Xenopus tropicalis: one gene and its partners. The protein of the gene in region 1 purifies or fractionates together with the protein of each later gene. This does not show direct contact. Links are inferred from orthologs where the notes say so. Each region holds a gene or a part of one and is shown in the gene's direction. Other genes may lie near its edges. The genes, in order: prdx1, uncharacterized protein LOC100170420 and prdx5.

Region 1 (4,235 bases):
AAGTGGAAAACTTTGCTGTCAAGAAAAAACATCTTTCCAAGACTAAAGGTTGCTCATGAAACACCTAGGCAAAAACCAGGATGTGTTTTGTACAGTCCAAGCAAAGTTATTTCACAACAGTACCAAAAGACTGCATTTTACTGCATTGACTGCATTTAATATCCCTGTTTATATTAATGTATTCTACTGTACAGCGCTGCGTACATAAGTAGCGCTTTATAAATAAAGTTATACATACATACATACTAGAACCAGATACGAACTGTGAAGTATTGTGGTGGGTACGGCCAGAACTAGAGGTAAGCAGAAGAGGCACATGCGTAGGGAGCAATGGTGGGGGGCGCTAGATACATGCGTAGGGAGCAATGGCGGGGGGCGCTAGATACATACAAATATTAGGCTGATGCCCTACAAAAGATCTCTGCTATCGTGGGTGACGAACTGCTCCAAAATGCCTTTCCACCAGCAACAATAGGTTGGCGGTAGAAAGCCCTTCACATTGCTTTGATTTTCTGAAGGTTTTCTTGCAGGTGGAAAGCCATTTTGGAGCGGTTAGTTGGCCGTGAAAGCAGAGATCTATTGTGGGCAACTGAATCGCTCCATGAGTCCTTAGCCTAAAGCAGTGGGTTCCAGTTCTGCTTCCTTTATAGTTACGCAACTGGTGCCAGGCGAGCTTGGCCCAGCTCTGGTGGTTTAAAGTTGTAGTTTGGTGCTGCTTTTCTGCATAATGGCCTGGGCTGATCTCCCAGGGTAGAAAATTGCACCCCTTCCCTGTTGGGGATGCTGGACAAAAACACTTTTTTACTTTGAGACTTAGCAGCTGCACCACTTCCCCCGCCATTCCTGGGCAGGCAGTGCACCACTGGAACCCCTGCTGTGCTTGGGCCCACTGTACCTGGCACAGCCTGCACAATTATTGGTATGATGCTTCCGTGTTTCTGATGGTGGCCCTAGAAGTAGCTAACAAGAAAGAGGCTTGAGGCATGTAGTGTTACATTTCAGCACAGAAAACAAGGAAACTTACTTTCAGACAGAAGCAACTGCAACTATTCTTCTTCACAAAAACACCAAAGTCTGCCCCAACCCGTTATACCTTTTTTTATTCACACCCTTTATATAGTTGCCTAAAGGTTCATTTGCTTCTAATTAGTGCGACGAGTAAAATAGACATGAGAATCTCCCCGGAGAAGGTGTGAAAGCCGCAAGTAACGAGGGGAGGGGATGAGGGGAAGGCAGAAGATGACAGGAGATGCTTCAGTAAGGAGAGGGGAGGGGAGGAGTGGAGCGGGCGGTGCTCGCCATATTTGCTGAATATAAAGCACTTACAAGGCTGTGCCGGTCTCCTCCTGCATTGCCTGATCTGCTTGGAACAGCCACAGCCATGTAAGTTACACATTCTGCCCGCGACATCTCCCTCCTAATCTTTAGCAGGGCCTCTCCATCGCTTCCGGCTGCTATTATTGTTGTGATGGGGGTGACGGGAGTTAAAGTTCTGTAAGTTGAAATCTGAAATATCAGCGCCTATCTGCTTCCTATTGTTCTCCCTATTGTGTTCCTACATTATCTTCTGCCATACTATAAAGCTCACAATGTAGCCCTGGAAACCCTGGTCACTAGTAGTAATGGGAGCACGACTCCTAGCATTGCGCATGCTGTAGTGAGTTGTAGTTCAGTAACAGATGGGGCATTCTTGCGTAATAACCCGGTGGGGGCTTTTGGTGGGATTATACTGAAAAGCCTTGAACTTGGGTTGAGCGCGGTTTGGGGCCCGGTTTAGAATGAATGACACCATCACTAGTTCTTCTGCACCTGCATCATTCTTGTGATTTCTTCTTGGGGGTTATATCCCATAGTTCCGTGCCGCCTCTGACAGAGCTCCCATTGTTACACAGAGCACTCCCTGCCGCCAGCTTCCTCTGCGTATGCGTGACAACTTCTAACCTCTGCAATGTCTGGCTTCCCTAGCTTTCTCTCTGTCCGGGCTTCCCTGCAGCCTAGTGATTTGCTTCTTTCTAAAAGGAAAAGTGACGAGTGCTGCAGAACATGTGAGGCTGGAGGGTGTGGGATATCCCTGCCTCAGCGGGATGACTAGTTATTCAGGGTTCTGCCCGACGTGAAACCTTTCCACCACCCATAACAGCTCAGGAACACTAGTAGAGGCACGTACTGTATGAGGGTTCCCGCCTAGCTACTTTTTTTTTTACCAGGCCAACAAAAATGATGCTTTGTCAGTGCTTTCAATAGTAGCTAGGGTGGCAGTGGTAGGAAGGTTAGTGTTCTTTAGCAGAAAAAGGGGTTAAAGGAACAGTAACACCAAAAAATGAAAGTGTTTTAAAGTAGTTGAAATATAACATACTGTTGCCCTGCACTGGTAAAACTGGGGTGTTTGCTTCAGGAACACTACTATAGTTTATATAAATAAGCTGCTGTGTAGCCATGGGGGCAGCCATTCAAGCTGGAAAAAAGGAGAAAAGGCACAGGTTACATAGCAAATAACAGATAAGACACCATTGTATTCTACTGGGTTTATCTATTATCTGCTATATAACATGTGCCTTTTCTTCTTTTGAATGGCTGCCCCCATGGCTACACACCAGGGTTTATATAAACTATAGTAATGTTTCTGAAGCAAACATACAATTTTTACCAGTGCAGGGCAGCAATACATTATAGTTTAATTTCTTTAAAATATATACATTTTTTACTGTTCCTTTTAAGATCTGCTTTTAACATTTCCATGCGTTGTTCTATGGCTGAAAGTGGAAGATGGTGGCCTGTATCTACAATGGTTTAAAAGGATTTGTCAAACTCACCACGTGTAAACAGGTATCCAGGCTTGGTTGTGCATACCCTTTAAGAGTGAGTTTAATATAGCATCTCTGGGTGGGGTGGGGGTATAATTTTCCTGGCGTGAGTAAAAAGAAATGATTTTTGGTTATGTTTCGCTGACTTGTCACTTCCCCTTTCCATATGAGTCTGGGGATGTTGAGGAAGAAATCTTGCGAAATGAATAAGAGCCATTGGCAATGTAGACTTCAGATTTGAAAAGAGAGAATTTCTTTTTAGGAATACATAGGATATAGAGCTATTTTGATACCTGCACTAGTCACTACGTTTGTGCATGTGGCACAGCCAACATGTTTGTCACACAGCAGCCACAATTCATAGCAGATATAATTGCCTTATTGCCCATAACATGAAATGCTGCACAGGACAGTGAAAAAAAGAAACATGCAGAATGTTCCTCTGAATGAACTGCCAAAATGCTTTATTTACTCCTCTAGAGCCTCGGGCATATCATACAATCAAGTGTATTTAAAATGCCACTTGTAAGGTCAATATGTGTGCCAGGTATCGAGACAGGTGATCTGGTAGAAGCTTCTCAAGGAACTGACACAACAGGTCATTTGCAAGCAGGTTTAACCCTGCGTGTTTATTAGCCCCTTCATCAGACATGATCTGATCATGATCAGACATTTTACAGGTTGTGTGTAATCAGAAACGGTGCTGTAGTTAACCATCAGCCCATATTCACCATCCAATGAACTTGAACCTGAACGTCGGCGGCTTTAGTTAGCTGCAGCACATTACTTTCTTGGCACTTTCTTTGTACAATTTCTTTCTACATTTCCCTGGTAAGTTAAAAAGGCAGGTTCTTAATCACGTACTGTATATGTTTTCTGTGCAAGACAGCTGGAGCAGCTGCTGATTCTGGCATCCTCACAAGTGTACCTTGAAATCAAACCATGGACTTCTGAATATGAATACATGTGTTCCATCTCTTGCTGTCAGACCCATGCTGCAGCCAACCCTCATATTGGGCTGATGCGGTGTGCTGAATTGCTCAGACCAAAAGCTTGATTCAGGTTATATGTACAAGTTGTTCTAACTGCACTTGCACAAAAAGTGATGCCTTATTTTTGTAAACTACACACACTCTTACATAAAATAGCTGGTGCTTTACAGATAAGTCCTTTTCCTGAGAATAATGTGACCAATTTCTTCCTGTTATTAAAAAAACCTTCCATGCTCTATGACATGTTTGTAAATGTTTGTTCATGGTATCTATGAAACAGAATATGAATCACAAGAGATCAACTGCAAGATATTGACCCTCAGTCAGGAAAAGGCCGAGATGCTGTGTAGAATTCTGTTGAATCTACAGATTTTCAGCAGAGCATACCTTTATGTGATAATATAAAAAGCTGCCCAGGGCTGCACAAGGCGGTGTAATA
Region 2 (4,125 bases), on another chromosome or scaffold:
ACATGAACAGGTATAGGATCCCTTATCTGGAAATCTGTTCTCTGAATTACATTAAGCCTGTCCCCCATAGATTCCATTTTAATCAAATAATTCAGAATTGTGAAACTCATTTCCTTTTTCTCTGTAGTAATAAAACAGTATCTTGTGCTTGATCCCTACTAAGATATAAATAATCCTTACTGGATGCAAAACAACCCTATTGGGTTTAATTAATATTTTATTGATTTTTTAGACTTAAGGTATGGAGATCCAAGTTAAGGAAAGACCCCTTATCCGGAATACCCTGGGCCCTGAGCATTCTGGATAAGGGTTCCTATACCATTACTTGCTTGCTTTTATGTTTCTTGGCTATTAATAACATCAGCAAATATAAAAAATGCAACCCTATAACCTTTTATCTGCTCCTTTTAAACAGGGACAGTTATAAAAAGAAAGTGTATAGATACCCCCTATAAATATAGATACAGCTAATTTCTATTTAGGTTCCCAAGAAAATAAAAATATATGTACCCAAAAATTAGCCACTGGCAACAACATTTATACTACCGACATGAATGGACCCACACTGAACTCTGACTCTCCACATGACATTTTCTAGGAATAAATAACTCCTGTATTTCATTTTAACTCACGTTGCTATTACTTTTGACCTCAGTTAGTTAACTTCATACCATAGCTAAACCCGAATAATCTTATAGTACCAATTCATTTATTGCTTATAAAACACCGAGGCGAGCAGCAGCAGCCACGTTCTAAATCCGCCAACAAAAGCGGGCACTAAGCTACACAAGGCGCCTTGGGAACCAAGTCACGAGTAATTTTCTGCTATTAACCTCGCCCCTTCGCTAGGAACCGTTATACGCGCCTCCTCCCACTTGTCCCAGTTCACACGAGGCTGTTCTAGCCTTACTGAACTTGGCGCATTTCCTACAGTCCACTCCCTCTTCTCGGAATATCCTACCGCCATCTTCCCCTGACGCCATAATGCGGCCAGTGGTCCCTAGCCGCACCCATTGCCCAGACTCCCTTGTTGTGCGTAGTCCTCACGTGAAGGCGCTGATTTTGACCACGCCTTTACAACGCTGGCCTCTCTTTATTGGCTCGGATAGCTTAGTGACCCGCCCATTGCGCTCTAGACCGCGCCTTTTTTTACTTTGCTAGAATAGAAAGATATTGTTGTATACGCTATACACTAGCCCCGCCCATTCGCGGGCCCCTCCCCTCCCGGTAATTGCTAGACTTATCTCCTGAGGTTAGTGCTTTGCTGTGTCACGCTGAGTTTGAAGAAGTCGGCCGTCGCCACTGTCCAAAATGGTTCGACACGTTGAAAGTTTGGTAAGCAATTAATTGTATCATGAACGTTGTAAGTTGCTTGACTGAGAAAGATGCTTGGAAAGTACAGGCTTCTTATTTTCCTTTAGCATGAGGGGAAACGGGGACAGAGGAGCTAGTGCATCCTTATTCAGCATGGCTGGCAAATGCAAACAGCATGAGCAACACATTCCGTTTGAATTCTACTAACCCAAAAATAACATTCATTCAGATGTTCCTATTCGTTTATATTCGGATTATTAAAGTTGTGGTAGGTAGGGGAAGAGTGGCTGCTACAGCACTTAAAGGAACCCTCATCCTAAATTAATTACTGACCCAATGTAAAATAGCTAGGTAACTAGTAGTCTACGTATATTACCCATTTCAAAATGGTTTTTTTTGCACTTTGGGTGGCTAAATACAAAGAACATACTAACCAAAGCAAAAGTAGGTTCAAAGTTTGCTTTAGGGCTTCTGACCCTCCCCAAGCTATTAAATGTTTCCTTTCATTATTCAAACTGCAGTAGACCTATGCATGCTATCTGCTGACTGGTTGCTATGGGTATTCTACCTGGGGCAAACTTTGCACTATTGCAGCATTTTCTGTTAACTAGTTAAGGCTTTCCGACACACATTAATTTGACTTCTTTCTAAAAGACTAATATTAACACTGCTCCAGATCAGGGTCCTCAGAACAAGTGTTTTGAATGAGTACACCAGCGCTGACCTTCCTAACAAGAAATACAGCTTGGGTGATAATGCCAGTCAGTATGTAAGAGGTTAATCAGCTGACCCAGGACAGGATGAGATTGCATTTTGATGTTGATTCAAGCAGAATCAACATCAACACTGTTAGGCCAGTTTGTAATCCAATATCTAAATCTTCAAGGGTTCACTTTTAACCTGCATTTGGTTTAATTGCTACCGAGTAGCACACTATCTAGAAGAAGACTTAAAAATTGCATACTCCCATGCATTCTCAACATACCCTACTAAAAGAAATAAAAGAAAATGTTGTATAATTGAAACTGAGTAGGTTATGTTGCTCAAAATTCATCCTGTTTAATATTTTCTGGTTTAGGCCTCATGGAGATAAAAAGGGTACTTTCAGATGTGACTGGCTCAGGTTGGGTGAACTAGTTGGATTAGAATTTCACCTCTATTAAGATAAGAATGGATGCAAGAAAGAATGATTTTAAGAACACACTTCAGTTTTTCCATAGAATTTTCATAGATGTTAATTTGTTGGGATCATTTTCCACAGTTAAGTTGAACTGCTTGACAGATTTGCTTCTCAAATAATGCTAACATTCCTGAGCCTCATTCATGGTTATTGGAAACCAGAAGACTCGCTTAAAGCGCTTGTTCACCTTTGGGTTAACTTTTAGTATGATATAGAGAGTAATATTCTGAAACAATTTACGATTGGTCTTCTTCTATTTTTTTTTTGTAGTTTTTTTTAGATATTTCAGTTCAGGAGCTTTCCAGTTTGAATTTTCAGCAGTTATTTGGTTGCTAGGGTCCAAGTTACCTTAGCAACCAGGGAGTGGTGTGGATAAGTGACTGAAGTATGAATAGGAGAGGGCCTGAATAGAAAAGAAAGTTACAAAGAGTAACGATAAAACTGTCACCTCACAGAGCAATCGGGGTTTTTTTGGCTGCTGGGGTCAGTGACCCCCATTTGAAAACTGCAAAGAGCTGGAAGAAGGTTGCAAATAATAATAATAAAAAAAAAAAAAACTATAACAAATAAATAATGAAGACGATTGAAAATTTGCTTAGAATAGGTAATTCTATAACATACTAAAATTTAGCTTTAATGGGCAACTGTCTATTAAAGATGACATATAGTGAAAAAGTAATAAGTATTTGCCGTGGTATTATACACCAAAAATAGAAGAAAAACTCATTTAAAACTTTTGTGCACTGTTTTAATAAAAACTGATTTAAGAATTGTTTATGCTGCCAAGCCTTTCAGCATCTCTTGGGCACTTTCCCAGGCTGTTGAGCAATGGCAGCCCTTTGCCTTAAAGGATGCCAGCCAGCCTTTATCTTGCGCACCGCCACTGCAGTTTGATGTAGTTGTCAGAGAGCTGCCATGAAAGGGTGTGGTTTGCTAATAAATGGGAGGGGATTGGGTATCTAGTGGATATATTGGCATGGGCAGTTTTGACTTACTGGGCAGCTGTACAGTCATCGCTGATTTGTAACTGGGGAAGATTTATGGGAAGCTCCAGTAAAGGTACAAGTTTGATTGTAATTATTACACTACATAGGCTTCATATATTTATCATGGGTTTTGTGATGAGGGTGCTTTTGCCAGATGAGATAGCTATATATATATATATATATATATATATATAGCTATTTATTTTAAATAAATATTTGTGTAATTGTTTATTTCTCCCTAGCTTTCTCTTTGGGTACTGAGTGCTTTTGTACTTTTAGGGCACTCGTACAGGGTGATTCTCCATTAGAGAAACACTCCAAATTGGCATTTAAGCAAATCCATTTAAGTGAATTGCACTCTGTTCTTTTAAATGGATAATCACTCAGAAATACAGCAGTGAATATTTCTGAATGATCATCATCTGGTCCATGAGAGCACTGTGCAGAACCAGATGATTTCCATTCGGGTTACCAGAGGGGCAATTGGTAGCCCCTGCTTTGTGTCGGGTTTCCTGGACACATCCATTCATAAATTTACTAACATTGTTTGCATGTTTATTAAACAGTCAAAGTAATAATCACTTTCATTTATTTTCCCTCATGGGTATTTTCTTACAAGGTGTTTGTCAAGCACCAAGGGCGTTG
Region 3 (4,212 bases), about 56 Mb from region 1:
TGTGTGTGCCATACTCTGCCTTCCCTACCCTGCCTGTGTGTGCCATACTCTGCCTGCCCTACTCTTCCTGTGTGTGCCATACTCTGCCTTCCCTACCCTGCCTGTGTGTGCCATACTCTGCCTGCCCTACTCTTCCTGTGTGTGCCATACTCTGCCTTCCCTACCCTGCCTGTGTGCCATACTCTGCTTGCCCTATGCTGCCTGTGTGTATGGCACACACAGGCAGCATACAGTGACACAATGCTGGCAGTGCTCCTACAGTCTGCACAATAACTATATATTAAAAAACTTTTTAATTGCAGTACCACCTCAGTATATGTTCTTTTTGTAGTGTGCAGGGATTATTTGTGGGTTTCTACTCCTCCTGAGGTGTGAACAGGGGAACAATATGGGTGATTACAGCCTGAGCCTGAGGTGTGAACACTACAGGGGGTGAACAATGCAGAGATTAAAAGGTGTGAACAACACAGGGGATTACATATTTAAACAATACAGAGGGATTACAGCCTGAATCAGAGGTGAGAACCATGCAGGGGGGGCAGTTAATCTCAGTACTGATACCATTTAAAGCTTACACAAGAGTAAGCCATCAAAGCAGCCAGACAGGTGGGGGGCCGCACAGAGGGGGGTTGCGGGCCGCCAGTTGGACAGCACTGGTCTATGGGGTGGGGGGGATCATTTAGCCTCGGATTTTCTGGGGGGGGGGGGGGTATCACTGTGCCTTGGATTTTCTTTTGGCCTATGGGGTGGGGGGATCACTGTGCCTGTGATTGGCTGGGGGGGTATCACTGTGCTTCTCATTTTCTGTGGGTGTGTATTACTGTGCCTCTGTTTTTCTGTGGGTTATGGGGGGATATCAGTGTGCCTCTCGCTTCTCCTTCTTTTTCAGCACTGAGAACAAGGATCTACATGAAGCGGGTATTTCTGTGCCGATTAGTAGGATTATCTAGTAAAGTGCTGCTGGCTGCTGACACATTTGAAACACACGGAGGCAGAACGAGCAGCCAGAGAGCCGCAAGAGAAAGTCGGGCGGCAACAACAAAGCTCCCTATGCACAAACCTGCCATACTGCCTGGCGGAATGCAATTTGGGGGAAGAACAGAACAGGCGGGACGGCATTACACCCCAATTGCAGCACTACTAACATTAAAGAAATAGTGAATAGAAAAAGTGCTACGTTCTGCCGCGAAACAAACCCCCCGCGCATGCGTCGTCAAACCTTAAAGGTTAAGGGCTTTGTCCGTGCGCGCATGCGCGCTAGGAATTTTTAAAAAGTCCTTGCCTGCCCTATAGGGGCGGAATTGCCGTGTCCCATCGGCTCAGCCCACTTTGGTTGTCATGGCTCTTCGGCTCCCCGTCTCATTCCTCCTCCTGTCACCTCTGCGAGCGGTTGGAAGTTTCGTGAGCAGAACAAGAGCCATGTCTGTAAAGGTGCGTATGTAGCGAGTAGCGGCTTGTAGTGGGCAGGTATGTGCGCTGGCACAGTGTAACCGGCAGCAATGTCCTGTGTGCGGCAGAGATTTCTCTGTGTGGGTATTGGCTGGATTCCACATCTCATACTACTGGGCAGCCTGTCAAATACGAGTTAGATTATATAAACGTGTGTGCCCTCCTTCCCTGGCATGCTGTGGCTCCTGCTTTCACTCCTTACTGTTCTTGGGTATGTTATCTGCTTGCCCAGGTACAACTAATAGATAGTAAGCTCTGCAGTGCACTTGTTGTATAAAATAATGAAGGACTGGAGTTTAAGATATATATATATATATATATATATACACACACATACATACAACATGCTGAAAAGCCAAACTGCTGTCACCAGAATTCCCAGTGGGTTTCCACGTCTTTGTATATTGCAACAGGGGAATTACTCCTGGCAATGATTATTTTAGTCTGGTTACAGTATCGCAGCTCTGGGCTAAGATTCTAAATACTGCAGGCTCTGCCTTATCAAGTACACAGAGGCCCAGTAGCAAGTGAGTGTCTATGGCATTTTAAGCAGAGCCTACAGATTGCCAGTCCGGGCCTGCAATAAGATAATCCAAATTCCAAGCAAAATTAAGGGGAAACTCCACCCAAATGTTTATTCATTTTTTGCATAGTGAAAGGAAATGTGATTCCAAGCTGGGGGTCCCTGACCTTTTTCACCTGAGTTGGGGTGCAACACAAGCATGAAAAATTTACCTGGGGGTACCAAATAAGCACTATGATTGGCTATTCGGTAGCCACTATGTGGACTGGCAGAAAGCTTTGTTTTTATGCAACCAGAACTTGCCTCTAAAGGTGGCCATACACGTGGCGATCTGACGATGTTTCGTACGACCATCGGTCGCACGAAACATCGTAAGATCCGCCACACACCATTCAGGGCTGAATCGGCAGGTAAGGAGGTAGAAAAAATAGGATTTCTACCTCCTTATGCCGATTCAGATCTGAAGGGAGAATTTTGGTCAGGCGCCTTCTATGGCGCCCGATCAAAATTTTCCAACTGGTCCGATCAGCAGGTTCCTGCGATATCGGTCGACTCGCCGACATACCATACACGCACCGATTATCGTACGAAACGAGGTTTCGTACGATAATATCGGTGCGTGTATGGCCACCTTAAGCCAGAAATTCAAATATAAGCAGCTGCTATGAGGCCACTGGGAGCAACATCTAAGGGTTGGGGAGCAACATGTTTCTCCTGAGCCACGGGTTGGGGACCACGGTTATAAGCAATGTTCCAATATACATATAACAATGAATGCTTCAAAGTTATTGGTACCTTCTAAAGCAACAGAGCAGAGGCTGGATAATATACCCAGAGAACTGATTTCAAATATATTGTTTGCAGAGAATCAAAACAGAAAGGGATAAAAAAAAACTTTTAGTTTTTTCAGTAGCAGTGACATTTACACATAACTCTTAAACAACTGAAAATGTGTAATGACTGTGTATTGGAAAGTTGCCTAGAATGTTCTTTTATTGTTGGGTATGCGCTGAGGATTCACCCTTCCCCCAAAATCTGCTTTAGGTGGTTAATAAGTGAAACACCCTACTAATACACCCATGTCAGTTTGTGGGACTCTACCACACCAGATTTGTCCAAATACCGAACCAAAGCCAAACACTAATTTGCATATGTAATTAACAACATTTGGAAAAAAACACAGCATTCAAAAAATAATCATCAACCTTCATCTGTCACATTGTCTAAAGTCATGTGATGTTTAGGGTTTGGATTCAGTTCGGCCAGGAATAAGGAGTCTTCTAAATCTGAAAATGATCAGATCTGGTATTCAATACTTTCCTAATTTTTGTATTGCTTCATCAGTACATCAGCCCACCTTACACACAACACTCTGACCCTGCTGCAAATCCATTATTCTTATATCCACTATTCTTATGCTCACAGGCTTCCCTCTTTGCTCTCCCTGCATGGTGCCAGGTAACAGCACCCACCTGTCAGACTTCCCTGAACACCTGTTTGCTGCCGAGACATAGGCTAGTGTGATGTTGGTCTATATTCAATATATACTTTATTTGCAGGGGACATATATGTGCCCAAGGCTAGGAACATATAGTTGTTTCTTATAATTTTCAGATTAATATGTGTAGTATTATGATATTAGCATGAAATATCCATTACTCTGAATACATTCATTATTTAGGAGCAGTGATCCATCCTGTTAAAGCTGCTTGCCATTTGTATAAGTGTATTGTCACAGAAGGACTACTGTAATTGCATATACACTGAAAGAAAAATAAGCCGTGGCAACCTGATACTGCTAATTGTTACCCAAAGCTGGTAACTGTAATCTTATACATGTCGCAATGAGGAAGAGACACCTTAATAAATTCCAGTGTCGTGTAAAGGAAATTACTTACACAATGGATTTCGGTTGTGGGCAAATCCCTGAGACAACTTTGTACACTTCCTTGTTATAGACAATTAATATTTCATTGGGGTTTTTTTTTTATTCAATACTTGCAGGTTGGAGATCAACTTCCTAATGTGACGGTGTATGAGGGGGGGCCTGGGAACAAGGTCAGCATCAGAGATGTGTTTGCTAACAAGAAGGGGGTGCTGTTTGGTGTCCCGGGGGCGTTCACTCCTGGCTGCTCCAAGGTAAAGGAAGAGAAGCATGATCAGGGAAATGGCACTTATATTGTAGTGTCACCCACTGTGACCTACAGCACTTATATTTGCCTACTTGTGTCTGTAAGTTA

What was found.
Region 2: the proteins of prdx1 (region 1) and uncharacterized protein LOC100170420 purify together in Homo sapiens (affinity purification with western blotting; 3 studies listed by BioGRID, with this or other methods). This does not show direct contact. The link is inferred for Xenopus tropicalis from reciprocal best matches to the Homo sapiens genes PRDX1 and TXN.
Region 3: the proteins of prdx1 (region 1) and prdx5 fractionate together in Homo sapiens (co-fractionation; 3 studies listed by BioGRID). This does not show direct contact. The link is inferred for Xenopus tropicalis from reciprocal best matches to the Homo sapiens genes PRDX1 and PRDX5.

What each region holds. Positions count from the first base shown.
Region 1 is NC_030680.2:90,370,413-90,374,647, forward strand, and holds the start of prdx1 (peroxiredoxin-1), read left to right. Parts: upstream 1-1,360; 5' UTR 1,361-1,383; exon of another isoform or gene 1,384-1,494; intron 1,495-4,235. UniProt on the Homo sapiens protein: Thiol-specific peroxidase that catalyzes the reduction of hydrogen peroxide and organic hydroperoxides to water and alcohols, respectively.
Region 2 is NC_030677.2:116,011,483-116,015,607, forward strand, and holds the start of uncharacterized protein LOC100170420, read left to right. Parts: upstream 1-1,273; 5' UTR 1,274-1,311; coding exon 1,312-1,335; intron 1,336-4,125. UniProt on the Homo sapiens protein: Participates in various redox reactions through the reversible oxidation of its active center dithiol to a disulfide and catalyzes dithiol-disulfide exchange reactions.
Region 3 is NC_030680.2:34,742,899-34,747,110, reverse strand, and holds the start of prdx5 (peroxiredoxin-5, mitochondrial), read left to right. Parts: upstream 1-1,344; 5' UTR 1,345-1,419; coding exon 1,420-1,431; intron 1,432-3,976; coding exon 3,977-4,111; intron 4,112-4,212. UniProt on the Homo sapiens protein: Thiol-specific peroxidase that catalyzes the reduction of hydrogen peroxide and organic hydroperoxides to water and alcohols, respectively.